Tribolium castaneum: one gene and its partners. The protein of the gene in region 1 interacts with the protein of each later gene in a biochemical or structural test. Links are inferred from orthologs where the notes say so. Each region holds a gene or a part of one and is shown on either strand. Other genes may lie near its edges.

The links.
Region 2: the proteins of CASK (region 1) and nwk form a complex in vitro, tested with the Homo sapiens proteins (2 studies listed by BioGRID and IntAct, with this or other methods). The link is inferred for Tribolium castaneum from reciprocal best matches to the Homo sapiens genes CASK and FCHSD2.
Region 3: the proteins of CASK (region 1) and park form a complex in vitro, tested with the Homo sapiens proteins (2 studies listed by BioGRID and IntAct, with this or other methods). The link is inferred for Tribolium castaneum from reciprocal best matches to the Homo sapiens genes CASK and PRKN.
Region 4: the proteins of CASK (region 1) and Sdc form a complex in vitro, tested with the Homo sapiens proteins (2 studies listed by BioGRID and IntAct, with this or other methods). The link is inferred for Tribolium castaneum from reciprocal best matches to the Homo sapiens genes CASK and SDC2.

Annotation. Positions count from the first base shown.
Region 1 is NC_087400.1:7,166,348-7,170,456, reverse strand, and holds the start of CASK (peripheral plasma membrane protein CASK), read left to right. Parts: upstream 1-1,309; 5' UTR 1,310-1,921; coding exon 1,922-1,980; intron 1,981-4,109. Other genes in the region: probable peptidyl-tRNA hydrolase 2, read left to right, coding at 1-124. UniProt on the Homo sapiens protein: Multidomain scaffolding Mg(2+)-independent protein kinase that catalyzes the phosphotransfer from ATP to proteins such as NRXN1, and plays a role in synaptic transmembrane protein anchoring and ion channel trafficking.
Region 2 is NC_087394.1:5,015,294-5,022,653, reverse strand, and holds part of nwk (protein nervous wreck), read left to right. Parts: intron 1-3,097; coding exon 3,098-3,242; intron 3,243-3,295; coding exon 3,296-3,432; intron 3,433-6,399; coding exon 6,400-6,967; intron 6,968-7,360. UniProt on the Homo sapiens protein: Adapter protein that plays a role in endocytosis via clathrin-coated pits. Contributes to the internalization of cell surface receptors, such as integrin ITGB1 and transferrin receptor.
Region 3 is NC_087398.1:11,670,621-11,678,762, reverse strand, and holds the start of park (E3 ubiquitin-protein ligase parkin), read left to right. Parts: upstream 1-3,628; coding exon 3,629-3,889; intron 3,890-3,938; coding exon 3,939-4,304; intron 4,305-6,574; coding exon 6,575-6,723; intron 6,724-6,772; coding exon 6,773-6,971; intron 6,972-7,021; coding exon 7,022-7,364; intron 7,365-8,142. Other genes in the region: alpha-1,3/1,6-mannosyltransferase ALG2, read left to right, coding at 1,850-3,094; protein FAM32A, read right to left, coding at 3,104-3,226, 3,281-3,490. UniProt on the Homo sapiens protein: Functions within a multiprotein E3 ubiquitin ligase complex, catalyzing the covalent attachment of ubiquitin moieties onto substrate proteins. Substrates include SYT11 and VDAC1.
Region 4 is NC_087403.1:6,249,410-6,257,541, reverse strand, and holds the start of Sdc (syndecan), read right to left. Parts: upstream 5,114-8,132; 5' UTR 4,977-5,113; coding exon 4,911-4,976; intron 1-4,910. Other genes in the region: ATPase inhibitor mai-2, mitochondrial, read right to left, coding at 6,055-6,186, 6,234-6,375, 6,454-6,506; protein mono-ADP-ribosyltransferase PARP16, read left to right, coding at 7,004-7,279, 7,325-7,459, 7,509-7,712, 7,760-7,922, 7,969-8,132. UniProt on the Homo sapiens protein: Cell surface proteoglycan which regulates dendritic arbor morphogenesis.

The DNA of each region.
Region 1 (4,109 bases):
TCCGTGTTATTTAGTGTCAGATGCTGGCCACACGCAGATACCCCCAGGGTCTGTCACGGTTTTGAGTGTTTTTGGAGACGAGGAAGAAGTTAACGCCATCACAGGGACTTTAAGTTTGTTATAATGACTAGAATTCCATTTAATTGTAAGGTTAGGACCACGAAACCCAAGCCCTCTCTGATTAGTGTGAACGCATGTTTTTTTATTTTTAGACCACTTAGATGTAAATTATTTATTTATTTTTAAGAGTTATCTACAGGCTATTCCGCTTAAACTCCATACGAAGTATTGAGAATTCTAATAATTATAATTTTTGGGGAAAAAATTTGCACACAACCGTAATCCGCCTGATAATGAAAATATTTGCAACGTGACGGCACTTCCGGTTACACCGGAAGTCGTTATCAACTTTCTTATATTAAATGAAAAGCTTTGTTTTTTGCTGCATTTTTGGATTACTTGAGCTATTTTGCTTTTCCTATACCTATATTTAATTTTTATTTTAGTATTTAATTTTTTGATTTTCATTTTTGACTTAAAAAATCGTTAACCTTTTGGCTTATTTTAAAGAGAAAGTTTAAATCTTTTTTTTTTGTGTTTTCAAATTTCTAAAAAATATTAGCAAACTCAGATCGAGTTTGCAGAAATTCACACCTATAACTCCAATTTTCAAGTAAAATGTCACAATTTTTATTTGACTAAATGGTTGAGAATTAATTTTTGCATTCATCTTGATTAATATTCCCTATACTTACGTTTAACAGTTTTTAAGTTATACTATGGCACTGAGAAATTAGCCATAGATTTTTTTCGCGATTAAAATTTAATTGCAATTAAAATGTTCTGCAAACCGGCTTTAAGGGCTGGTTTATAGAAAGTTTTACCAAAATCTAATTCGTTGTTAAAAGTTAACGCGAATGGACCAATCACGTTTGTTCAATTTGATCATGTGATCAGTTAATCACGCATTTAATTGCAAATTAAATTAATGACGCTTCAATAAACCAGTCCTAAGAATGGCAGAATTATCGATTTTTGAAGCGATTTAAAAAAAAACTAAAACGGGTTATGGCTGTACTCTCAACTTTGAGATAAATATCATTATGAGAACTTTAATACTTCTAATGTGCGGTTTAGACGGAACATTCTGTATAGTCAAGTGCACAGACGTGTATACGATCCTGAATAAATTTTTGTTGCAAAAAAGTTGTTATTCACTCCAATGGGCCTGAGACTAATCAAATCTGGAGCAACGATCAAAGCCGGGCCTGGGACTAATCAAATCTGGGGCGCGATCAAAGCCGGTCCTGTAAACTCGAAACTAATTTAGTTTTTTTCATGTCTTTGTTGTGGCACCATTCCGACCTGTCAAATATCATCGAAAATTAATCAAACCCGTTTTAATGAAACTCGCCCCTGGAAATCGATGCCCGCATGTGAAACCCCCGCCTGTCCCTATTTAGTAGTTTAAAACCGGTGCCGCGTTATTAAAGTGCGAAGATAGGTTATGTTGTCAGCCTGACATTTGCGTGTGACAATCCAGGACCGGGTTTCCTGTCGGCGGCCGCACCCACCGTATCTAAATCAGTCATCAAACTCCAAACAAGCCGCTTTGGAGGTGTTAAAAGTCCAGTCCGTAGTGTTAAAACCCGCGGCGCGACGCTGCGCATGTGTTTTAGGCGTGATCCCGGCCGGTGTTGCGCCTGTTCCTGTCACAGCTGTCAGTTTGTGGCTGTTTATTAGCGTGTTGTTGGGTGTGTGCGTCGTGCGGCGGTGAAAACGTCCGATTGTCGCGGTGTTCGTTTGCGGAGTCCTGTTCGCCGCCCCCAGTTGGGGCCAGAGTGGTAGGCAACCCCCATGGGCCTGTGCTGAACGGCTTGCCTAGCTGCCGGCGTCGCCGCCCCACAGGCATGGTCTAACGATGGCCGACGAGGAAGTTCTCTTCGACGACGTCTACGATCTCTGCGAGGAGATCGGAAGGTAAGCAGGGGCTGGGGTGGGTCTTTTGGGGGTGGTGGAGCGGCTAAAAGCGTTTGACACGAGGGTGGAACAGAGCCGGAGTCGGCGGTTAGGGTGGAAATCGGTCGGTGAATTGTGGTAATTGGGTGGTGGCAAGCGAGGTTTATTTTTTTTATCGTTATTGAGTTAAAAATACATTATAAACAGCAGGGATTTACCGCCTGGTTTTCCAATAATTCATCAACAAAATACAAATTACATGTTATTTTGTTAAACACGACACTTTAAATTATATTATGTGCGCGTAAAAAGTAGTTATTTGCTCCATAAAAGGACTGACAAAACGAACTTTTTTTACTAAAAATATACAGGGTGAAGTCGGTCAAATTTCCATGGCTAACTTCTTTTCAGGACGAAATATTTTTCGCATGGGAAGGTTGGCTCTGGAATTTTGACACTTGAACTTACGGTAATTGCCAATTGACTTAAGATTTAAATTTAATTGTTTTTGTAGTTATTGACGTCATTTATACCTCTTCTTAAATGGCTAATTAATTGGTTTATTTATATTAATTATTTAACTAAATTAATGTGAAGGACAAAGTTGATTTTAAAACACACCACAGACAACAGTAGCAGTAGATGAATACTAAAATTTTTCTGATTGTGAAAAAAATGGCCGATTTTTTATTGTGTTATGTGATAAGACTAACAATTGCATGAAAAATACATTCTGGAATATTTGTAGTATATGGAAGTTAACAATTATTTTATTAATAAATAATTAATAGTTAAAATAAATGCGTTTGTTCTTTCGGACGCGTTATGGTCTACAATTTTAGATTTTTATTTGTTTATTTTGGGTGCTAGACTATAAATATTTCAGCTTGAAAGTATGTATTTCTTATTTTAAAATCATTTATGTTTTGTTTAATTTCTTATAATCTAGTTAAAGGCTTGCAATTTCAGAAAAAGCACTAACTTTATGTTAAGTACAAGTAACCGTTTTATTTCTTTTTTTAATAACTAAATGTAATTTTTTACGCTTTTTTAATAGCTTTTTGTCCAGATGTAATGGATTTGAGCAAGAGAGTCATTACGGACCTCAAATCAAACATAAAGCAATTACGTTCTTTGTTACACAATTTTATTGTTTCCTAATTGAAGAATTATCATTTCACAATTATTACGTCGAGTTTTTAATTAGATTTCATAGCTTACTACAGCCTGATCTTTTCCCTGAATTAATTCATTTTGAATTTAATTATTTCGGTGTTAGCTACTGAGTTAAAGCAAAATAATACACAATGCAGTTTGAAATTTGTCATTAAATTCTCTAGTTACAAACTGCACGGTTTAGTTCGTTTGATGGGCGAAAATTTCATTGTCGAGAAAGGGATTTAAAAAACTTTTTTGCATAATGCATTTCTGTTTCACATCACAGATCGATGACAGACTGTGGGCTGTCTGTCAGTCAAAAAATTGCTGTGAATTGTTTAACGAGTTTTAAGCCGTTTAGAAAAATTAAATATCAAAGTGACTCACAGCAAATAGCTGATTTCATTGTATATTTGTCGGTTTTACGACGAATGATGCGTTTGTTTAGTTTTTTTTTACTCACTATCCCGGGAAAACTATATTTCTGTTTTTCTTTATTATCTGTTTTATTAGTTTTATTACATGTTTTGCCTCATATTTTTACAATTTATTTCGTCTTCACAGATGACATTTACTAAATAACTACAAAAACAGTGTATTCACCAATGGTTTATGGAGAAGAAATGAGCAAATAAGCAAACGAGAACAGAAAATTCAAAAATCATACGTATAAAAAATTATCTTGAATAGTTTGGAGTAAATACAAGAGTAAAAGAAAATAAAAAGGAAATAATAACAAAGCAATAAAAATTAATGGAAATAAAAGAGAGCAAATGAGCAAATAAGCAAAAGAGGACAGAAAATTCAAAAATCATAAGTATAAAAAATTATCTTGAATAGTTTGGAGTAAATACAAAAGCAAAAGAAAAAAAAGAAAATAATAATAAAGCAATAAAAATTCATGGAATTTGAATGACAGGACAAAACTATAAGGGAATTCACAGCATTATCATTATCTACTCGAATTTCTGTTTTGTAATAAAATATTTTTT
Region 2 (7,360 bases), on another chromosome or scaffold:
AATTTATTTTTTAATTCATAAAGTCAAGTTTTTTTTTACTTTAACATTATAGATTTAGAAAAGTTTCACTTTATTTCACTTCACCGTTCTAAAATACACTCAAATAAATTTACACGTACCTTTATTTTTCACTTCTAAAATTATTCAGACCTACAAGGTAAAGGTGCAAAAAGTAAATTTGTCTTAAAAACTTAAAGGGCGGTTTACAGAAAGCAAAATGAAGATTTAATTCAGAATTAAACTAATTCGAATTAAGTTGCCATTTAAAATTCATTGACAAATGTCAAGTTAATCAATTAAAATGTTTCGTAAACTGGCCCCTAAATCTTAATTAAAAATATTGAATTAAAAAAATGTTTCCGTTTTACTGACAATTTTTTTGTTTTTTTTCATTTGGTTTAATAAAACTGTTATTTTTTCGATTTAAATTTAAACCAAACTTGGTCTTAGTTTTTTTTCGAAAAACGTCGATGAAATATTTTCGTTTATATTCTGTTGTAAAGAGAAAAGTACCAGAGATTAGACTTGGACATTTTTTTCAAACATAAGACATCTTCAGATCAACCGTGGTGATTCAACGTTTGCTATCTTTTATATTTTTTTATTTGCATATAATTTTTTTGAAAATCTTTCTACAATTTTGCTGCAAAAATTACGTATAAGTATTTTTTAAGTCAATTTAAAACAAACCATGCTTAAATTTTGTGTTGTACAAAAAATTCGTTAAAAAATTGTGACTATCCCCAAGAAATAATTAATTAAATGAATCTTAAAAATTTAAATAAGTGTAGTTTTGGTTATTTTTTTTTATAATTATGTAGCAGCTTTTAACACATGGTGGAAAACATTTTTAACAATGTCACCTTGTATGTGTTTTTTGTTTGTTTTTGAGTTTGCACCTTCTTTCTAAAACTGAAAACTTTATCATTTTTAATTTTGAAATCATTTTGGGCATTTGGGGAAAGCTTGGGTAGAACTTTTTCTGCTGTTTTCAACTTTTGAAAAAATTTAATTAATTAAGAAGCCCAAACTATTAAAGGTTACGGTCAGTTCAGTTTTTACCAAATCGTTATTCTCTGTTAACATTGTTTTTTTTTTTAATTAAAAATTTGTGACTAAAATTATGTTTACAATCGCTTGATTTTTCGTATTTTTACGAATACGTTTTCTTAGGTCTTACTTGAAGTTTTTTTAAAGATTTAAATGTAAATTTTGTTAAATTTTGACCTAATTTGGTAGAATTTTTAGTTTAGTATTAACTTTTTAAGCACTAAATCATGTTAAACGCCCGAATAAATAAGAGAGTAACATTATTTTCGATACAATCAAGTGAGTTTTAAAAAATTTTGACGAAACTTCCAGTAATAATAACTGAGTGTTGCTAGAAAAACAATGCCTAAGTGCTTGAGAAAGACCAAAATATAATTTCACTTTTTGAACCAGTTCTCGGACATTCTGGTTTTATTTTCGACGAAATAATTGCATTTCTGAGTAAAGTGATGTAATAGCCAATTCATTAAGCCAAGGTTTGCAAAATTGGGATTGAAACTGAGAATTTATGTAAAAATTATGCTTAAATAATCGAAAAATGTTTTTATTTTCAAAATAACGGCGATTTTTTTATTTAGTTTTCGCGAGAATTTTCAAAACAATTGCATTTCATCCTGAAAAATGTACATAATCGCTAGATCAGGACAAAACAATGCAATCGTTATCTCAGTGTTGCGTTTTAAACATAAACATATGACTAAACTAAAAAAAAAACAATAGTAAGACATGCAGTTAATTTTATGATACTGTTAAGAATTGAAATACCGTTTAAACAGTGTTATTTAATTTAACCAACAACACCTTATCTAAAAACATCTTGATCTCTACCTTCTAGATCTGGTTCTGGAATTAAATTACAAAAATGACCAAAATATCAGTTTGATATAATGTTTTATTGATTTTATTTAATGTGTTAATAAATTTACATCAAGCTATTAATAAGCGTTAAATTTTTTTGGCTTAAAAACATTCTAAGATGCTCGAAAAAGTAAAATAACGTAATTGTTGATCCTATTTTGTGATATTTATTTCTTCATTGGATTTTTTTAAATAAACTAATTTTTGTCTGTTTATTTTAAAAGCGAGTTTATATTCCTCTGAAAAAGAGTAAAAATAACACGATTTTTGAATATTTTTGTCAAAATTTTGCGAAATTTTTGATTCTCTGTTACTTTTGAAAATAGTAAAATATCTAAGAAAATTTTTTGTGTATTTTAAAATGTTGGTACTTCAATAAAAATTTTAAAAGGCTGTTCGTTTAACACGTTTACGCACCGCTATTGTTTTAGTGCTATTTATTCATTATTTTTTATTTAAATAAACCGCAAAAGACTCCTTGGAGAGTCATTAATAGAGCAAAAATCTACCACCCTTTGAACTCTATTTACCTCAACTTTGAGTGCAGTGAACCATAAATTCGATACGAAACTAATCTGAAATTCTCGTAGTAAATCGTCAAAGATTGTAACGTATTGTTTGAAAGTTTTTAGATTTATTAAGAGTCAGCTAATGGAGTGAGTGAGTCGTGTGTGTGTGTGTGTTGTTGTTGAGGGTGACTCGGTTAAAAGTTTAAAGGGCAAAGTATGAAACAAAATATGCCATCGGCTTTTGTTTTGTTAATAGGGTTGTTGTTGAGTTCCAACGACCGGTAAATGGAACAATAATTATCTGAGAGTTGTAGATTTTTATAAAGCAAGTTTAATTTTTTACGAATAATTGAAAAAGAATCTATTTACAAACTCATAACTTTTAAAATTTTCTAATTCTGGTAAAGTGCTGCGAGTTTTCGTCGCCTCTCCTCATATCTAAAATTTTCTCACACTCAAACTTTCGAATTTCTCGAGTGTTTGATGAAAGCAGTCGAAAAGTTGCTTGCACTGAAGTAATTTCTTCTGTACTTCCCCTTTAAACTGACGAACTTGGAAACTAGCGCAATTTTTAACCCCGAACTTCGTTTAATTACACAAAGTTGAAGGGCGGAGGTTTGCAAATTACACGTCCATTTAGCCGGAAGAATTCAGTCGTTTCCAATCGATTTTTTTTCCAGGAACATGTGGAACGTTTGGCGAACGGTTCTGGAAGAGAACGAAAAACTGGCAAGGGCTCGATTAGCAGCCGTCGAAGTTTTTCAGCAGCAGATAGCAGACGACGCGAAAATTTTAAGGGTGCATAAGCTCCAAGCAGCGAAAAAAGTGAGAGGGTGTTAAAAGGTAAGGATAATTTTTACAGTATTTTTTTCTTGCAGTGTTTGGATCAGTTGGCTCTCGTACAAAAGGAGTTACAAGGATGTGTACAAGAAGTGGACAAGACGAAAAAAATGTACTTTGATGAGGAACACAGTGCTCATGGGGTCAGGGACAAGGCGAGAGACATCGAAGAAAAGTAAGTGATTTTTTTTAATAATGAAGCGTCTGACTACATTAAAAATGATTTCCCGTCCCAGTTTATGAATTTATGGAAGCGCCGCGTCCGCTTGGCCATACTTTAATTAAACATAATCTATAAATGGCTTAAGTCGAGTCGGGATAATAAATTCGTGACTCGGTTTAATTTTGCACGTCACCCGAAGGGATAGCGGTGTTATCCGGGAGATGAAGGATAAAAACTTTGGACGGATTTATTACAAGTTTTAAACGTCGAATATTTTTTCAAAGAACGTTTATATTGAACGTTTTTAATTAATTTTCTGTGTATTTATTAGGGAGAGCTGCAGCAACAATTAGCTTTTGTGTTAAGATACGACATTGTCGAGCTGGAGTATAATAATAATTCGTATTCTCAGAGGACTGAAATGCAGTCACGTGACTTAATCAACATGCAAGCCGAAAGGCCTATTAGACAAGCCGCGTTTAACACAATTGTAGCTTTATTTTGATTATCTCATCCAAATAAGCGAATAATGAATTAATGAGTAATTTCAGATTAATGTAATTAATTTAATTAATAAAAAATCAATTGCAGACTATTTTAAAATGCGGTTGTTTTGTGATTTTATAAAACATGCTCTTAAATCAATTACGAGGGGTTTCAGTAATTCACGAAAACGTATTTAGTAGCAAAAGAGGTTCCAAAAATCATAACAATATTTAATTCTTTAAATATTTCAATGTCAGTTTTACAGCTTTTTTACCTTTTCAAACTTTTATTGTTTTGTCTTCCCACTTTCGCCTTTTGTTTTTTAGCTACTTAGAATGCCATTTTTCCAATTTATTATTTTTTTTAATTTTTTGTACAATAATTTTCAAGTTTCTTAGGCTTTCAGTCGTAGTTTACTTTCATATTGTCACTCTTTCAGTTTCTCAGATTTTAATTTTTTGGAATGTCAGGTTTTTACTTTAATTTTTCTACTTCTTACATTTATATTTTTATAGTTTATGAGTTTTTTTATTGTATTAATCTTTTTTTTAAGTTCCACTGCGTCTGTTTCACAATTTTACAGTTTCTCCCACTTTTCTCAGACATTTAGTTTCTCAATTCTAAGTTTTTAAAAATGTCTTCATTTTTGAGTCTTAGTATTTATTTGCCTACACAATGTTTTAGTTTCTCAGTCGTTGATTTTTTGAGATTTTGTAATTTTCATGTCTAGAGAATTTTTGTTTTTTAGTGTACGAGTTTTTTAATCTTTTATAGTTTTTCAGTGCTTTTCGTATTTTTAGATATATTTTTTTAGTATTTTAGTCTCTTAATCTTTAGTCACTTTAACTACTTAGAAAGTGAGATTTTTAATTTCTGTTTTTTTATTTTTTGTTCTTGTTTTTTTGTCTTATTCTTTCACTTTGAATTTTTACTATTTCTTGTCAGTTATGTTTAATTTTTTAAGTTTTTATTTTGAGGTTCTACATTTTTCTTAATTTTTTGCTCTTTTAGTTCTTTGGTTATTTATCAAACTTGCAATCGTATTGTTTTTTAGTTTTTTAGTGTTTCAAGTTTTCACTATATAGGTTTTTTGAATTGACTTTTTATTTAAAAGTGTTTATTAGTAGTTTCGTTAATTTATTTCTCAGTGTTTTAGCTTTTCAGTTCGTAAGTTTTTCAAGTCAGCTTTTTAATTTTAAATTGATTTTAAGTTGATATTTCAGAGGTCAGTGTTTAAACTTGCTAGTTTCTAAAATTTTTAGTTTTTCTATTAGTATCATATAGCTAGCTACTCAATATATCATTTAGTTTTTATTATTTATTTTTTTCGTTTTTCACACATCTAAAGATTTTTCGTCTTTTATTTATAGTTTTAAGATCAATTTCTCATTAATTCTGAGTATTTCATAGTTTACTTTTGATAATATTTAAGTCATTCAGTTCTCCAGTTTTTTAGTTTTTCATTCTCTAATTATTGTTTTAACGGATTTTTTGTCACTTTTGAGTCTTTTATCATTATTTCATTTTTTTAGAATCTTAATTTCTCAGAGTATTTAAATCTTTATCTTAATATTTTTGTATTTTATTTTACGTTTTTTATTTTCTTAATAGTTGTGTTTTTTTTCAGCCTCAACTTTTTAGCCTCTTAATCCATAGTCACTTTAACTATTTAGATAGTGGGATTTTTAATTTATTATTTTTTTTAATTTTTTGTTCTTGTTTTTTGTCATATTCTTTCACTTTGAATTTTTAAGTTTTTTACTATTTTATGTCAGTTATGTTTAATTTTTTAAGTTTTTATTTTGAGGTTCTTAGCTTATCATTTTTTTCAGTTACGTACTGCTCACTTTCTTATTTTTTCAGACTTTCAGTTCTACAGTGTCTTACTTTCTTGTTTTCTTAGTATTTGGATTTTTTATTTTTTCAGTTTTTCAGTTTTTAAGTCTTTCAGTCTCTTAGTTTCTTATTAATTCTGAATATTATTCAATTTTTAATGGTAAATCTAGTTCAATCAGTCTTTGAATTTGGTTTATGAGTATTTGAGTCTTTCAGATTTTTAGCTTCTTAGTAGGTATTTCAGCTTTTCAGTCATTTAGAGCAGTTTTTGTTATTTTCCAGATCTAACTTTTGTCTTTCATTCTTTTTTAAGTCTTCTTTCTAGATTTGTCTATTTTTGTATTCCAGTTAAATTCTGTTTGTAGGTAGTTTGTAGTTTTTCAGTCTTCCACGTTTTTATTTTTTTATATTTCTAGTTTTTCAGTGTTTTAAGGTGATTGATTATTAGTTTTTCTGGAGGTATTAACGTTTCATTAATTAATTGTTATCTACCGAGAATATCAGTTTTAAAATTTATTATTATTTTTTAACATTCAGTTAAAGCTGAAGATTTAAAAAGTTAAGTCGAATGAAATTATGACGAAACCAAAGATTTAATTTTCTTGGCAATTGCGTTGTGTCTGTTGATTTTATTGTCAAACCTATCATTTATTTCAGACTCAAAAAGAAGAAGGGCGGTTTCTTCACCTCAATCACCTCCTTGCAGAAAAACAGTGCAAAATACTCAACAAAACGCGAACAACTCGACGAAAAATCGACGGGCGCCCGCAACGACTACCTCCTGTGCCTGGCGGCTGCAAACGCCCATCAAAATCGCTACTTTGTCGTCGATTTACAACAATGTATGTCGACGATGGAAAGCGGCGTCTACGAAAAAGTCGCCGAATATCTTTTTCTGATGGGACGCACTGAACTTCTCACCTGCTCGGCGATGCAAAACTCCTTCACAATCATCCGAGATCAAGCCAAACAACTAACCAGAGATTATAATATTCAATGCTGTTACTTGTACTATCCCGTTCTTAAACAGCACATACAATATCCTTTCGAACCGTGTGACAACGATCCTATTGAAACCATCACAGCAGAACATGATTCAGCGGCCGCTACCTTGAGCAAAGAGGCCAGAAGGTGGGCCACGAGGATAGCAAGGGAGAATAACGTGATCAGGGAGAGCACCAGGAAGTTGCAGATTTATAGCGCGCTCAGGGAGTCGGGGCAAAAGGTAAGAAATAAAAACACATTTTTTATTTCGTTTTATCTATTTCAAAGTCTTATTACACGTTTTTAAAAATAAAAGTTCCTTTAATATCAAAGAAAAATACAACGTGTCTCAGCTAAGACTTTCGAGCTTAATATCTCCGTTATTTGTCAACGGATTGTTATGAAATTTAGAATGCACATATTTTAGGACAATTAGGGTCAAAAAATGACCTTAAGTTAAAAAATGAAATTTTTAAACACATTTCTTTTATTTAAAATTAAGCCAAATTACCGGTGGATCATTAAACCCCGAAAAATAAATGGCCACACAAAAAATTAACCAAATCGCTCGGCTGATCCAAGAAAAAAATTAAATTTTGTTGTTAAAAACTTAATCCAAATTTTGATAGTAATT
Region 3 (8,142 bases), on another chromosome or scaffold:
AAATTGAAATCAATTATGAGTTTTTGAGGCGTTGTCCATTTTTCATGTTGGAGTGTTTTAGCTAGAACATGATTGTGCAATAGTTTTATTCCTTACGTCCACGATGTGAGCTTAATAGGTGTTCGAAATATTTAGATTAGTTTTCATTCACTTCAAGCATATCTGTTGACTGAATGTACCAAGCTTTGCGCGTGAAATAATTGTGTATATATTTTTATTTATAATAAACAAACTAATTCGTGCCATTTTTTTGTACATAGTTCTCTCATTGTGGCAATTCACGATTGTTAGATAATCTTCATGTCTATTTTACGAGGTCGATGTATATTGCATGTAATTTATAACATTCGAAGATCACACATTGATGTAAATATTTCAATTATTGCATAGCTGTTAAAAGTGGTAAAATGACAATAAAATGACATAACATTCACCACTTTAATACAATTCCCTGCCCTCTAGCGTCCATAAGTTAATGTTTCCAAAATGTTATACCAAATAAGAACTGGTTCTTAAGTTTTTTTTATGGAAAATGCAATCGAAGTTAGGTATACAGGTACTGATTTTTTTGGGATCGTAAAAAATAAAATGAAAAAGATATCCGAAAAATCCTTGAAAGATTTTGGGGGGGGAGGGAGATTTCCTAGGTCAAATTAAGAAAAAAAAAATGTTCTCATATTTTTTTCGTCCGAAAATGTTTCCTAAGGAAATGAGAGTCTAAAGCTCTCTTTTGTTCCTAGATTTCAAGACGATTTTTTTAAGTTTTTTTTTCTAAATAAACTAACTTACAAATTAATTACAATTATAAAAATACATCATGCTATTAACAATTGTACAAATGCATACTAATTGTCGCCGTAAATAAATTTAATTCCTTGTTAAAAGCTAACAACGCGAATGGACTAATCAAATTACATTTAATTTCAGATTAACTTAATGACGCTTCTATAAACCGACCCTTAGCCCGATTTATACAAGCGTCATTAATTTCGCAATTAAACTGATCACGTGACCAAATTGAACAAATGTAATTGGTCCATTCGCGTTGTTAAGTTTCAACAACAATTTAAATTTCAGCAACGCTTTCTATAAATCGGTTCTATGTTTTATTGCCGTAGGTCACTTCACTCTCACTTTAGCAATTAACTTATTTTTAACTTTTGTTGATATTTCATTCTTTATTTTATTTTTGTTTTTTAACTTGAAGGTAATTATATTTTCCAAGAAATAAGAAAAACAAATTTGTGGCAATTGAGATAAGCTGCTACCAAGTTTTTCACTAAAATTTTGATTCAGGGAAGCATTAAGAAAAGCCGTTTAACACAAAACAAAATAAACAATGTTTATTTATTGTCTGCTTTCAAATTTAAACTAACCATTCACATCAAATTAGTGAATGACTATTTAAAATGATTGGTTTCTCACTTTATATTATAATGGCCGACCTGAAATGGACCAATCAGATTCAAAAATACAATTTTTCAATGAATCAAAAAATTTGAAGTGATTGGTTTTCTCCAAAATTCTAATGGCCGACCTCAAACGGCCCAATCAAAGTGCTTACAAATCTTACAATCACTTTACGTTAATTCATAAATTGATTAAGTCTGTCTTTGTTTATGTTGCGTCTCTCTCATCTTCAATTTTTCTACCCCATGGACGATTTGTTACATGAAAAACACCATAATTGGAACAAGGAGATGAAATAAAGAAGGAATATTGAACTGAAACAAAAAGTCGGTGGAAGTTGTCCTAATTTAATTTAAATCAGGATTTTTAAGTTCTGTATTCTGTATGGTTGGTGCCACTGATTTAACGCTGTCAAAAATGAGATAACCTCACTTAAACAATGCCGAAACGAAAAGTAGCTTTTATTCACCCTGATTTGGGAATAGGGGGTGCGGAACGGTTAGTTTTAGACGTCGCGAGTGCCTTATCTAAACAAGGAAACGAAATAATTCTTCTAACCAACCATTTCGACAAAAACCACGCTTTTGAGGAGCTCAAGAATGGGGAGTTCCCCGTTCAAGTGTACGGCGACTGGCTTCCGAGACACCTCTTCGGAAGGTTCCAAGCACTGTGCGCTTACATCAGAATGATTTATTTAACACTAGTCTACGCAATTTTCTACCGTACCACTCAAAAGCCTGACGTGTACTTTGTGGACTTAATCCCTATGGCTGTGCCAATTTTGAAATTATTCGGCGAAAAAGTTATCTATTATTGTCACCACCCGGACTTGCTCGCCAGTGCGCCAGGGGGGGCCTTAAAAAATTTCTACAGGAAGCCCATAAACTGGTTGGAGTTAAAGTCCACAGCTCGGGCTGATATCATTCTAGTGAATAGTGAGTACACGGCTTCGGTCTTCCGGGAGACTTTCCCCCAAATCACAAAGACTGTACAAGTGGTGTACCCCACAGTGGCCTCCTCGTTCTTAGAAGCCGTCAAAAACACCAAAAACCCCAGACCAATCCACCAAATAATCCCAGAAATACCCCAAAACGCCGCCTGTGTCTTCCTCTCCATCAACCGCTTCCATCCCGCCAAGAAACTGGACTTGGCCATCAATGCGATGGAAATTTTGCAAAGAATCACCTCGGAAAATGAACGTAAAGGCATTTTCTTGGTTATGGCCGGGGGCTACGACCCCCAATCGTCCATAAACGCCAGTTATTTCACCGACTTGGAGAAACTCGTCGCTGAGAAGGGGCTCCAAGACAAGATTATTTTCCTCAAGTCGCCCCCCGATGACGTCAAGACGGAACTTCTGATGGCGTGTGACTGCCTCGTTTACACGCCCGTGAAGGAGCACTTCGGCATTGTCCCCCTCGAGGCAATGACGGTGGCTAAGCCCGTCATTGCGTGCAACAGTGGGGGCCCCCGAGAGACAGTCGACCACGGAAACACGGGCTATTTATGCGAACCGACCCCCGACAGTTTAGCGCAATTCATGTACAGGATATTCAAGTCGGATAACAAGGCAATGGGGCTCAAGGGGCGCAAAGTGTTGCAGGAGAAATTCTCAAATGAGAGTTTTGCAAGGAATTTGAAGAAAATCCTTGATCACACTAGTGTAAATAAGAAGTTTATTTAAATAAATATTTTACTTAGTCCAAGAGACCTTAGGTATGTCAAAGTGTTCCGTGAGCCCGTCCAAGTGTTGGTTGAATTTTTCTACTCTTTCTTTGTGTGTCATTGACGCTTTTTCCAAGATGCGTTGAGTTTGCTGCAAATTGTAACAATCAGGCAACAAATTTAACACGAAATGTGATTTATTTACCATTTTTTCTTGCTGTTTTAAGAACGCAAGTTCGGCTTTTGTTTTTTGCCTCGCAGGCTTTGATTCCGGTGTCTCACTTTCGACAATTTTGCTCACTTGCTCTAACAACTTCTTATCTTTCTTCTTCTTTTTCTTTTTAATGCTGTTATCACCTTTTAATTGCAATTTTCCCTTGCAAACTTGTGCGTATGGGTCGTCACTTTGCCCCATCTTGTTTGTTTTGACGTTTCTGGAATTTTTCACACAACAACCAACGTAACGGATCGACAATCCCCAAGAATGAGGTTATGAAATTTCCTCACAAAAAATGTTTTTTTCTAAAAATAAGCCCGGCCGCGGTTACCACAGATGATGAGTTTTATTATCAACGTAATTAAAGATTTGTTGCATAAGATGTTACAATTTCTGTCATTTAGTAGAAAAACGCTGAGCAATAATTTGAGTATTTACATAAAAACCAACACAGGGAATACGCTTTCGGTCGATTTGGACCCCACCTGGGACATAAAAGAGGTGAAAGAGTTCGTTGCGCCCCAATTGGGACTGAAACCAGGCGAGGTAAAGATTATTTTCGCTGGAAAAGAGCTGGGAGACAACATTAGTATTTCTGTGAGTTTTGCCCTCAATACCACTAGTCGTAACCAGTTAGTCATTCTAGGAATGTGATTTGGGCCAACAAAGCACCCTCCACGCTATCAAAATCACCAAAAAGCCCAACCCTCCCACTTTAAACAATGCCGTAATTGAGGAAAGTGACGAGGGCAAACCTCTGTGTGAGACCTTATCAGATTTGAGTTTTTCAAACGATGATTACGAGGAAGGGCCCACCGAGCAACGCAAAGTCCACTTTTTTGTCTATTGCCCCACGTGTAAAGCCCTCAAAAATGGGAAATTGCGAGTTCGGTGCCACTTTTGCAAATCGGGGGCTTTCACGGTGCACTCAGACCCCCAAAACTGGAATGATGTGCTGCAGCCAAAGCAGATAACCGGCCTTTGTGAGAATAGCCCCGAATTGTGCGCCAACGTACGTTTTTTAATTATTTAATTGAAATTAGTCAAAAACACTCCACACTAAAAATAGTACTGGACAAAATTTAATTTTCCTTTAAAATGTTTATAGTCAAAATATTTAAAGTTAAAAATATTTACGCTTACTAAGGAGCATTGCGAAAATTTTTAAAATGTTTGCAATCGTAATGTCCGCTCACCTAACTAGAAGCAGCAGATTCATTAACACCATAAGAGCGAGCTAAACCGAAATTCTGGTACAGGGAAATCAATGTTAATTTTAAAAACTAAAAGTCGCTGAAGACAATTAAAAACAATATACGCCAAAATATTTTCAGATACTTTTTTAAATTTCTTTTTCTATCATAAAGTTAAAATTTTCTACAGTTACCAAATTTATTGAATGTAAATCTAAATTTGAAATTTGGGTTACTACTGAGGGTCTCTATAACATTTTTAGAAAATGTGTTCCAGCTATAAATCAGGTATCTAGCCCAGTCAAGTTAGACCAGACAAGAATTGGGCGGTTGGTGGCAAAAATTCCTAGTGAGTTGGAATTTTTTAAACGCGTTCTTTAGATAGACAGATATTAAAAATCCCAGAGGATGGAGGCTGAGCTCGAGATGGGGGAGAGGGTTAAGTGTGTCATTTTTCGTTTTATTTCTTATACCACGGAAACAATCATTGTCGGTTTTCACCTTCTTACAAAAATTAAAGCTGATGAAATTTCCTACAAAAATTGGTCCTATGCACTTTTGTTATAGGACTACCCGTAAGCGAGTTATAGGACTGAAAAGAAATAATTATTTAAAAAAAATCTGCTTCAAAGTAGAATGTCTTGTGACTTGAAAAAATCCAAATTTTACAACTGTTTCAAATTGAAATGATGAAATCTCTAGTATTGTGTAAAAATTGTTATAATAAAAATTTTTTAAACGTCCTTGACTGATTGATTTTAAAAAAATTCACGACGATAAGACCAAGTTCCTTAAAAAGTTTAGTTAAAAGTTAATGTAATAAACATCATCAGGCTTTTTACTCGTTCAAATTCTTGGAAGTAAACATTAAAAGATGGAATTAACAATGACTTAATGACAACAACACATGCACACACCACCGCCTTTTGACACCAGTTGGTGTCTTAAAGTGAACAAGACAGCGTTTTAAAAATGGTGGATGCGCCGGGAGAAATTATCAAATTAAACATTTCCAAATACTACTTTGAATAACTTTAGTCAAAAATGTACAAGTGTACAGAAAATATAAGAAAAACAAGTGTAAAACAATTTACTATTAACAAACTGCAAATTAAAAAAATGGTGGATGCGCCGGAAAAATTAATCAATATTCAAAAAAAATAAAAATAGATGTTTGTTGTTATTTTCTGACAAATGTATACATGTTTAAAATACTTTTTTATCAAACATTAACGCAAGTAGAGCAAACTGACATGAAATAAGGCAGTGGTATTTTGACAATTTATTGAAATAACGTTATGAAACGTAAGTTTTATGGGAATTTTTGAATGTAATCATTTCTGGACAAAGACATGACTCTAGAGGCAAAACGGCTCATTTATCAGCGTTTATCAGCAAAACATTTCTATCTTAGTGACCTCTATAACACCGTAAAGTTTGGCAACATCATTTTGAACGCTGTATAAGGAAGAGAAAATTATGTAAAAATAAGTAAGAATCGCTCCATAATCAAAACGACACACAAGAATAATAGTTTAGATTTTTTATTAGATTACAATATTAATAATAAATTATAAACAAAGACAATTGGATTACCATAACTTTTCAATTCTCCTTTTTTACCTGCTTTTTTTTCTATCTTTGTACCTGTCTTAAATCATTTCTTTTAATTAAGTGTCAATAGAAATTACTAGTAGGTAGCACATAAGTAGGTAAATTTAATTTTTAATTCTTTTAATATTACCTTTTTTGAGATAAAAATGTATTCAACGGGAATCTACTAAAGCGCTACAATAATATTTTGTTTGTGCGTGAGATGCGTACAAAAGCAAAGATAGACAGTTTCGTTTGGTAACAGAAAATACTTGATCGATTTAACGACCTTCGCTAGAAATATTTTAGTTTAGCTTGCTCTTAAAACACAAATTAAGAACGACTATGATGAACACGGTAAAAACGACGTTAAATAAAAATATTTTTTTAACACATGTTTTGAATTCAAATTTGATAAAACCGCTACCTATACCCTGGAAAATCTATTATTTCGAAAATCTATTAAATTAAAATTTTTAATTAATAATTCCTGCAGGTTCTGAACAACAAAGAACCGACTTTCGCCGAATTTTATTTCAAATGCTCGGAGCACACGTCCCTTGGAGAGACCGACGAGGCTGTTCCCCTCTATCTAATTCGTCCAAATTTAAAAGAAGTGCCTTGTCTAGCGTGCGCTGACATAAAGTAAACGCGAAAATAACTCCTAGCGTGAAAATAACCAATAAAATTTTAGCGAAACCGTGTTCGTCTTTCCATGTAAAGAGGGCCACGTTACTTGCCTCGACTGTTTCCGCCAGTACTGCACGACACGGCTGCGGGAACGCCAATTCTGGCAACACCCCGAGTTTGGCTACACGCTAGCGTGCCCCGCTGGCTGTCCCGACTCCTTCATCCAGGAGATCCACCATTTTCGCCTCCTGTCAGAGAGTCAAGTGAGCTCTGCTTCAAGCCCGTTTAATAGCGCGGACTAATTTTTTTATAGTACACACAATATCAGAGATTTGCGACTGAAGAGTATGTGTTGCGCTCCGGTGGGGTGCTCTGCCCCCAGCCGGGCTGCGGCATGGGCATACTGGCGGACCCCGAGTGCACCAAAATCACGTGCATCAACGGCTGCGGCTACGTTTTCTGCCGCCTGTGCCTCCAGGGGTTCCACATTGGGGAGTGCGAAGCGCCCGAAGGGGACGTGGGGGCCCCGGGGGATTGTTCGTACAATGTGGACCCCACAAGAGCCGCGGAAGCCCGTTGGGACGAAGCTTCGAAAGTTGCGATTAAAGTCTTGACAAAGCCCTGTCCCAAATGTCGCACCCCCACTGAACGAGATGGTTAGTATTTTTTTTTTTGTAATTTGCTTCAATTTTGTGGTGTTATAAAACTATAAGCAAAAATTAAATTTCTTTAAAGAAATATTTTTTTTGTTGGTAAGTAACATTTTAAGCCTTTATTTTTAATATCTTAATCCTAGATATATAAACACTATTTTAAAACACGTTTCCCATAGTAACGTGTTTTCACTATTTTAAAACACACTTCCCATAACAACGTGTTTTAAATTAAAATGTTCCAACAAAAAAATTGGAATAACACTTATTCAAAAACGTTCTCGAGTGTCTAGGTATAGAACTCGCATATGCTCGTTGCATAACGACAGCCCTCGACCTTTAAACTTGTGTTTTCGCACTCTTATTATTAATAACTTTTCTATTCATGTGTTCTAAGCACGTTTGAGTCGAGGTTTAACTGCAAAAATTTTTAATTATTTCGCTAGATTGTTTGTTTTTGAAAAAAATAGTCTAATAAATAACACAATATTGTCAAAAATAGATTATTACACAAATGTGAAAATATTTTTGTTTGTAATTTGCCACACTGTAACCGAATTTTTTTCTTGACAATCATTTTATGAACATCCCCACAATATTGTTGAATTTTTGGTAACTGGAAACGTACTCTATTCAGTGTTGCCACTGAGTCATTTTTTCTGAATTTTTTAGTCTGTGTAAGAAAATATAACTTTTAGCACAAATTAATAAAAATTAAGATTGGTCAATTTTTACGCGACTTTGTTAATGTAAAGTGTAAACGAGCTAAAAAAAAACTTCG
Region 4 (8,132 bases), on another chromosome or scaffold:
TCCTCTTCAATTAAAAAATTCCGAGATTAATTTGAGAACGAGTCGAAACACTATGGATATTAATCAACTTAAGTTCAGTCAGTAAATAAATTAAATTTGTCCCTTAATTAAATCGATCGCTTTCTGGAATAACATATGAAGCATCAAACAGCGGCGTTAGTAATCACATACACGTATAACATATTTAATAAATTCAAGAAACTTCACTTGGTATCACAGAATAACACATTTATATGTAAATGACACTCCGTGCTAGATAAAGGAAGTTAATCGGAACTTAACTTTTTAATCACGCAACAGGTACTTGCTTACCCCTCGTACAAAAATTACGACATCCACATGCAAATTTTTATTCATTCAATAATTTGCCTTATCTTACAACCTAAAATTAAAAATGACAACAAATTTGTAAGAATTATTTATAACTTATCGCGGACGATTATTTGGAAATAAAAACTCTGCCATTCGCTATCAAATTATAGTTGAGGGATCAGAAGTTAAAAGTGTAAAATAATAATTCAAAACACAAATGATTTAATTCATGGGCCGGACTGTAAAATACTCACAGATAAACTTCTGAGAAGCTGGCTATAAACAACTTCTGCAAGATAATTTAGAAAAAATACGCCAAATTGCGGAATTCGCATTGACATCATCAAGCCATATTTTTAATATCAAAGCCACTCTAAGAAAATAAATGCACATGAATTTTAGGAGCATGGCATTGTGTTTACGTCTCTATATGCGCTACATATGCGGTTGGTGCCCACTTATAAATAGGTATAGGTTTCTTCCGTTTACGTCAACGACTAACAGTATCCGCATCCGTTCTTCAAATTCAAAAGCAAACTTAGAAAAATTTTATTAAATTGCTGCGATAAACAAGGTCCAGTATAAACGTCATAAATTTACACAGAACTCGGAAAAATAAAGCAATTAGAATAAACACAACCAAAACAAATAAATAATGAATGCACTTTGATTGTATGAAGATGTTCCATGTCAATTTAGATTTTACAACTTCATACAAGCCGACAAGCACGCTCTGGTCACAATTTAAAACTCATCCGGGGGCAAATGCGGACTTCGGAATAAATTTATTTCAAAAAGTTTGAGCAAATTAACAAAAACTAATTTATCCGAGTTTTATTTTGCAAACCCGTCCGTGCCGCAGTCCTGTTTGAACTTTCATTTTCAAGGCTACATTGTGCGTATTTGGAAAAATTAAACTACATTGAAGTTGTTTACAAATATCAAAGTGCATTCACAGACAGTGTAATTAAGGATGATTCATTCCAAACGAATCAGTTAAAAAATCCTTTGATCCTTCTGCTTCAAGTTATAAAATTTTCATCCCGGTTTTAAAGCTGTCAAATTCGTGTTTCATGTATCGAACACACGAAAATAACTGAAATGCAAACTGTACTTATTATTATGAATTTGTAATTATATTTAACGTTCGTTACAAAACTGTTGTTATAAATAATGAAGTTCATACCGAATAACAATCGATATCTCCCAAACTCGAATTAATAATTCACTGGCAACGATTATTTACTTTTAAATAAAATTAACAAAATGTTGACTACATGCAGCGTATAAAATATTTAGTTCTCCTTTTTGTTGGAAATTAACGACGCTAAATACTGGCATTTGGACGAGGTGTTTTGGCAATAAATATAACGTTACAACATTTTAGTGAATTTTGGCAACAACAGCAGGATTGTAATTTCAGCGCGGTATTTTTTCAAAATTTATTTCATAATAAGTCTGTTCCATAAGCTGCTCGAGGCACTTCCAACAGCTTTCCACCCAGACACAAAATGACAGTTAAAAATCCTTCAAGAGACTCCTTTGAGGTTTCTCTATTCCTGTTGTTAATGGAAAAGCAGCATTTACTATAGTCTGCCATGGTAATATTTTCGCGGTGACGTAATAAAGGAAGAGTATACTGAGTGATTCACACAAAGTGCAACAAAGCACTCTCAGCACCAAAAAGAACACAACCCAGTTGTGCAAATTACCATTATTGGTAAATCTGCTTGTTATCACTTGCAGTCCTATATTTCAATTTAGCTTCGTTCGGTTAAAAATGACATTGATGAATAACACTTCGAACGACATGAATTGCTATCAAATATGTTGTTTATTAAATGCGGAGTCGGCGGGAACAGTAGCCAAACTATCGATTCGTATTATTTTGTGGACGGGGAAGTCCGTCTACGCCAATACAGATAGCTTCAAAAACCTCCGTCACTTAAAAATCGCCGGAAACGAGACTCATTTGTTTTCTATTTTGGATGAACTGTTCTTATTTTTGATCATATCGTTAGTAATTTTTCGATAAATATTGAGATTGTTGGCAAGCATCTCGCTTAGGTGACTATCTGTACTGAGTAAACATCCGATTGATACTGCAACAACGTTGTATCAATAACAGGCGTAACAATGCAGGATTTCTTACATTAGCGGAAATGAAACTCTTTGTGGTTAAAATGACAGTAACATCGCAACCGAAGTATTGATCATTTTTGTAAAACCACCCAAAAAGCAAAGTTGGAAGTAAACAATAAACATACGACCCGCACATTACTAAAGTAACCATTTCCAAAAATACCTCACAAATAAACAGCGCTTCACTGCTTATACCCTAACCAAGTTTTTGTTCCTTACCTTGGAAACACAAGCGTCCTTGATTTATAATAAAGGAATACAGCGAACAATAAAAATAATGATAAATCGCGGGGTCTTAGTGTCATCGGCGACACAAAGTTCCTTTAATCTCTCGCAAGGGCATTACCGAGCAAAAAGGAGAATCTCTCTGGACGCATCACATAAATCAAAAATATTAACAAATTATGGATTGTTTAAAAACAATTCAATTTTGATAAAAGTTTAATTGTTACGGGGTGGACACATTCGAATTATTTATGGCCTGAATTGACACGGTACTGCTAAAATATTCATCGATGCAAAAATAGCCTTCGTATACGCTTCCATTTTAATGAAACAATTTTAATGGTAAATGTGTTACGTAAGCAATTATGATTTCTTTTTAATGGCAACTTCACCCCAATGATAAATTCAAGCAATGATATTTAATACAATTATATAATCACGAAACACTCGAATTAGTAATAAATGTCCCGACATGAGATAACACTGATTTTAGTAATAATCATGCATTATCGGTGCTAATCGAATTTGTTAAGCTTAATGCTAACTACAGGAGTCTGACATAAAAGTGATAATAAACTATCCCATGCAGTTAAGTCCGTTTTAATTACGATTTAATAAATGAATAAATAGGATGAAATATTCATTTAACTAAATTACAACCTGACAGCATGCTTTATCGTCCACCACATTAAACTGGAATTGCTCTACTGCCAATTCGCCAATTTATGTACTAAATAAATCCCGATTTTGCCAACTTTTCAAACTGACCAATTCAGTTTTCTCCGAAAGCACGGAGACATGTTAATGCTATTTTTGGTTCCCCATCAATAAAATAACGACATGACCTGTTACGGTAGCTGTAAAATCTCCATTGACTGAAATTCTCACGAAAATCATGATACGTTTCAAGTGCTTGTGAAAAACCTCCGCCTTGCGTATTTTTCCGCAAAAATGATACAGATGTGCTGAAGCAGATTTAAGGCGACCTTCAATCTTGCACAAAACTGTATCCCTTGATTCAATCAGACTGTATGAATAAATACGTCTATACGAGAACACTCCTTGATGTATTAATAGAAATGAAAACAATTTCTTCGCTTTAGTCACGAAAATCAGATGCAAAAATGAATCGCGGAGTTAAATACCACGAACCACCAGTATATTACATCTGGAATTAGCAAACCTCACCCCATTTTCTCTCAAAAGCAAATTAGTGGAATAGAAGAGATAAGTAAATTACCTACAAAGGTGAAAATCTTAACAGAGGGTGTTGTTATGATCTCCCTTGCGATACATCATTAAAACCTCTTTTGACAGATTTTACAGCATCACAATTTGCGTTAATTTTAAATATACATTTCCAGGCTGATAATTTTCTGCGACCAAATTAAATAAGAATATTTATGCGCGTTTCAAGTGAATACACTTCGTTAGGAATTAAAATGTTTAACATGCAATTCTAATTTGTAATTCCATTTAATTATCCCTAATTCCGCTCAAATGAGCATTGTTGCAATTAAAAATTATGGAAACAAAATGTAGCAAGATGGATATACATCTCGAAACGAGTTTTTACGCATCATTTCTTCCATTTACTACTACATTATAAATAATTTATAAGTGTGATTATTTTAAGTTACGTAAAAAAGCAGTCTTTGTCAAAACGCTTAGTGCAAGCTTAATTTATGGAATTTATGAGGTAGGGATGCAGCAAAATATTTCTTCAGTTTTGCAATGGTTGTAACAGGAGGCTTCGTTCGGTTTTAATGGAATGTTTCATTAGAAGTAATTAATTATGCAAAATGCTTATCAATGACGAAGTCCTTGTGTTTGTCCATTTGCTGATTGATTTTTCGGAATATTGGCGATATTTACGATCCGTAGAAAAGGAAGAAGTTTTATGATCTTGTAAAATGATTTATTTGGCCGACTAAAGGTTGGCATTAAATTAAAATCAGTAAAAGCGCGTAAACAAAATACCATCTGCAGGAGCGATGATTTTTTTGGAAGGCGAATGCCGTCTGTCCGGAAAATCGAAATTATAGATGATACAATGTAAACATTTTCGTATGCGTCTCGTCATTGTTATTAATTTGCGTTCGTGCACATTAACATAAATATTTTTGACGCGCTTTCGCCAAGAAAAAACCTCAAAGCTCGGACGAGCTCCAACATTTAAGACACAAGTTTAGGCCCCGAACGAGTAGGAATGATGAACATTTGTAACTTACCTGTGCTGCTGTCGCAAATCCAAATAGGATTGCACAACATAATAATGAACATATCCTTAAATACATCACTAAAAACAGTTTTTACTAGTCGAATTAACTCGACTATTTGTTTTTATTTCTGTAACTTAATATGGCACGGTTACCCCACAGCAAGCAACAAACGCATACAGTGTACTAGCTGATCAATGAGAAATACAACTACGGGTTGTCGAGTTACCGACTGGGTTCGGTCATTTTACAGCTCAAGCGCACACCGGCGCCAATTTCGAATTTGCCACCCAGCGGATGGCAACACTGCATTTTTTATGCTGAAGGGCCGCCATTACCGCCAATTATTTCAAAAAAACATGATATTAAGTGCTTAAAACAAGAATCTAACCTTTAAAAAGCTATCCTAAAAAAGGCTTATATAACTTTTTGTTATAGAAAGTTTTAACTTAGTTGTATGTCTTTTACCACTACCCAAAAAAAGATCTGACTCTTTTGAATCACCCTGTATACTTATGCCACGTAAAATTTATTTACATATACAAAACAATATTATTATGCCTTTTTTCTTCCTATAGACTGGTCATTGCGGAACATTGGGGGTGTGTTTTGTACACGTTGTAACAAGTTTTTTGAGTTATTTCATGTTTCTACCGCACACAAGCTCGCAATGCGACTTTAAAGCTCGCAATCGACTTTAAAGCTCGCAATCGACTTTAAAGCTCGCAATCGACTTTAAAGCTCGCAATCGACTTTAAAGCTCGCAATCGACTTTAAAGCTCGCAATGCGACTTTAAAGCTCGCAATGCGACTTTAAAACTCGCAATGCAACATTAAAGCACGCAATACGACTTTTAAAGCTCGCAATGCGACTATTTACTTAAGGTCCAAGATTTTATTAATTTAACAGTTTGAAAAATTTGTGATCGTGGCCCTTTAAGGGCATCGTAGTACGCAGTGTCAAACACTAAACAAATATTACGTAACCATCATTTTTATCGAAAAAATAAATATGGTGTGCCACACACAATTGAGAAAAACACACAGTGAAGGCGATAATATTTATTTGAAAATAATACCTATATCATACAGTAAACGTGAACATATTTTCCAATCTAAGAAATCTACTTTCAAGCTGTGGAACTCAAATATGAAATTACTCCTTGTCGATTTCGGTGACTCTCTGCTTGTGGCGATTGATCGCATCTTGATGTCTCTTGATTTGCTCCTCGTGGAAATTAATTTCGTTCTTTAAATCGTCTTTCAGTTTCGATAACTGTTCCCTTTGCTTAAAAAAAACTATAAACAAATCTATTATTAGCCGGTGCATCTAACCTTTTTATAGAAATACTCCTCTTCCTTGGCGGCTTCAGCCTTGCCGAAGGCACCCCCGGCTTCGCGAATTGTGCCGCCGCCGCCGCCCCCTTTCCCAGCCCCGCTCCCTAAATCGCCAAGCTGTGACATTAATCGAAACTGTCTGAAATAAAAATATGACAATATTATGTAAGACGATGACTGGAAGGCACTAAGTGGTGCAGTTTGCACCTGCACCTACTTCGGAGCTTTCGATGCCTCCAGAAGGGTTCGCGGGTTACGCAAAAAGCTCATTTCGTACTTTGCGAGAAGTTTGTGCCGCAAAATCACCTGGACTTCGTGTGACAACTTTTCACCAACTCCTGAATGTCAAAGTGTCAAATTCACCGGTAAGCTAGGCAGCTACCTGAGCGACATCTAATGAATTCCACTCCCAAAACCACCAAAACTCTTCGAAATTTCCTTAAATTCCCTTTATTCTGGCTAATTTGTTCCGTGAGCTCCTCTGGTGCTATTCTTTAATGGTTATCAATTTTTTTAATAGCGTGAAATGAAAAAAAAAATCTTCGGGCGTGAGAACTTTCGGGTGGGAACTTGTCATCACTTGTCAAAATTCAATGTTTGGTGTCATCATAAGTAAATAAAGGCTTTGACAACACGTTAGACCAACGTGTAACTCGACAAAAAATTGCATAATTGCAGAAATCCCCGCAATGATTTAATTGAAATGTGACCTTGCCTCAGAACTGTATTATGATAAATGTGGGTGCACTCAAAATTTAAGACCACAAATGGAGTTTGGTAAAGATAAGTTGTTGCCAATTACTGATTCTGATGAGAGTTTTTCTGACATAACTTTCGTTGCCCCATATTCGCCCGATAAAGACGAGCAAACGGGGCAACTGCAACTAGACCAATTACTGAAGGAAATCAAAGACAATGTTTGGGGCTGTGACTTAATCCTGTGTTTGTTCATCTCTGCGTTGAACTCGTACAGGTCAGATCGTTGTTTAAGGCCGTTTCCACCCTCATATGTAAATGAAGAGGGAAAGAATTTCACTGGATTGGTAAAAACCCAATTATCTTTTCAGTCTAATGAGTTAGGTTTTTAGAGAAGTACCTGTGATAGCATTCCACCTCTTACCACAATTTTAAACGAACCAAATAAATGCTCACACGATGTAAAAAAATTGCTTATGTGGCTGTTTTTAGAGAGGGGTCATCCCACACTTAGAAGGATTAGTTATGTAAGTGGTCACTGATCGTGTTATCTTTTTATTTGTGTAAATATTCTAGGCCAATGTCCCGTTTCCGGGCAAAATTAGTAACGTGTTCAGGCCCCAATTTGTGTTTGAAGTTTGTTATCACGATAAATACGAGTCAGTGTGGCTCAAAAGGCAGGATGGGAGGGAGACAATGTTTGCATATCATGGCAGTGCTGTCGATAATTTTTATTCGATTCTTAAAGTTGGTTTGCAACAACACTTCAGCATCGAAAAGGTTTCTTTCAGTAATCGAGACTTCTATTACTTAATTTGCTTATTTAGGAGGTTTTATTTGGAAATGGAATTTACTTATCTAACGAGTTATCAGTGAGTGCACATTATGCCCCTTTTGGTCAAACTTGGACCAATAGTTGTTTAGGCAGTAAACACAGTGTGATTGCAATTTGCGAAGTAATTAATGATGTTGATAAGGTCAGATGTCGAGGTAAAAATGATGGTTGCGTTGGGCTTGGTTAAATCTTTTGTTTTAGACACCAAAAACAAAAGAAGATCTCTTAATGAAGACAGTTTGGGTGAAATACCCGAGAAGTACTTTGTTGTAACTGACAGTGATATGGTTAGAGTTAAATATCTTATGATTTATAGAAAAAAGAGAGTATTTTCGGTAAAATCTTACATAGCTCAGCACCTCTTC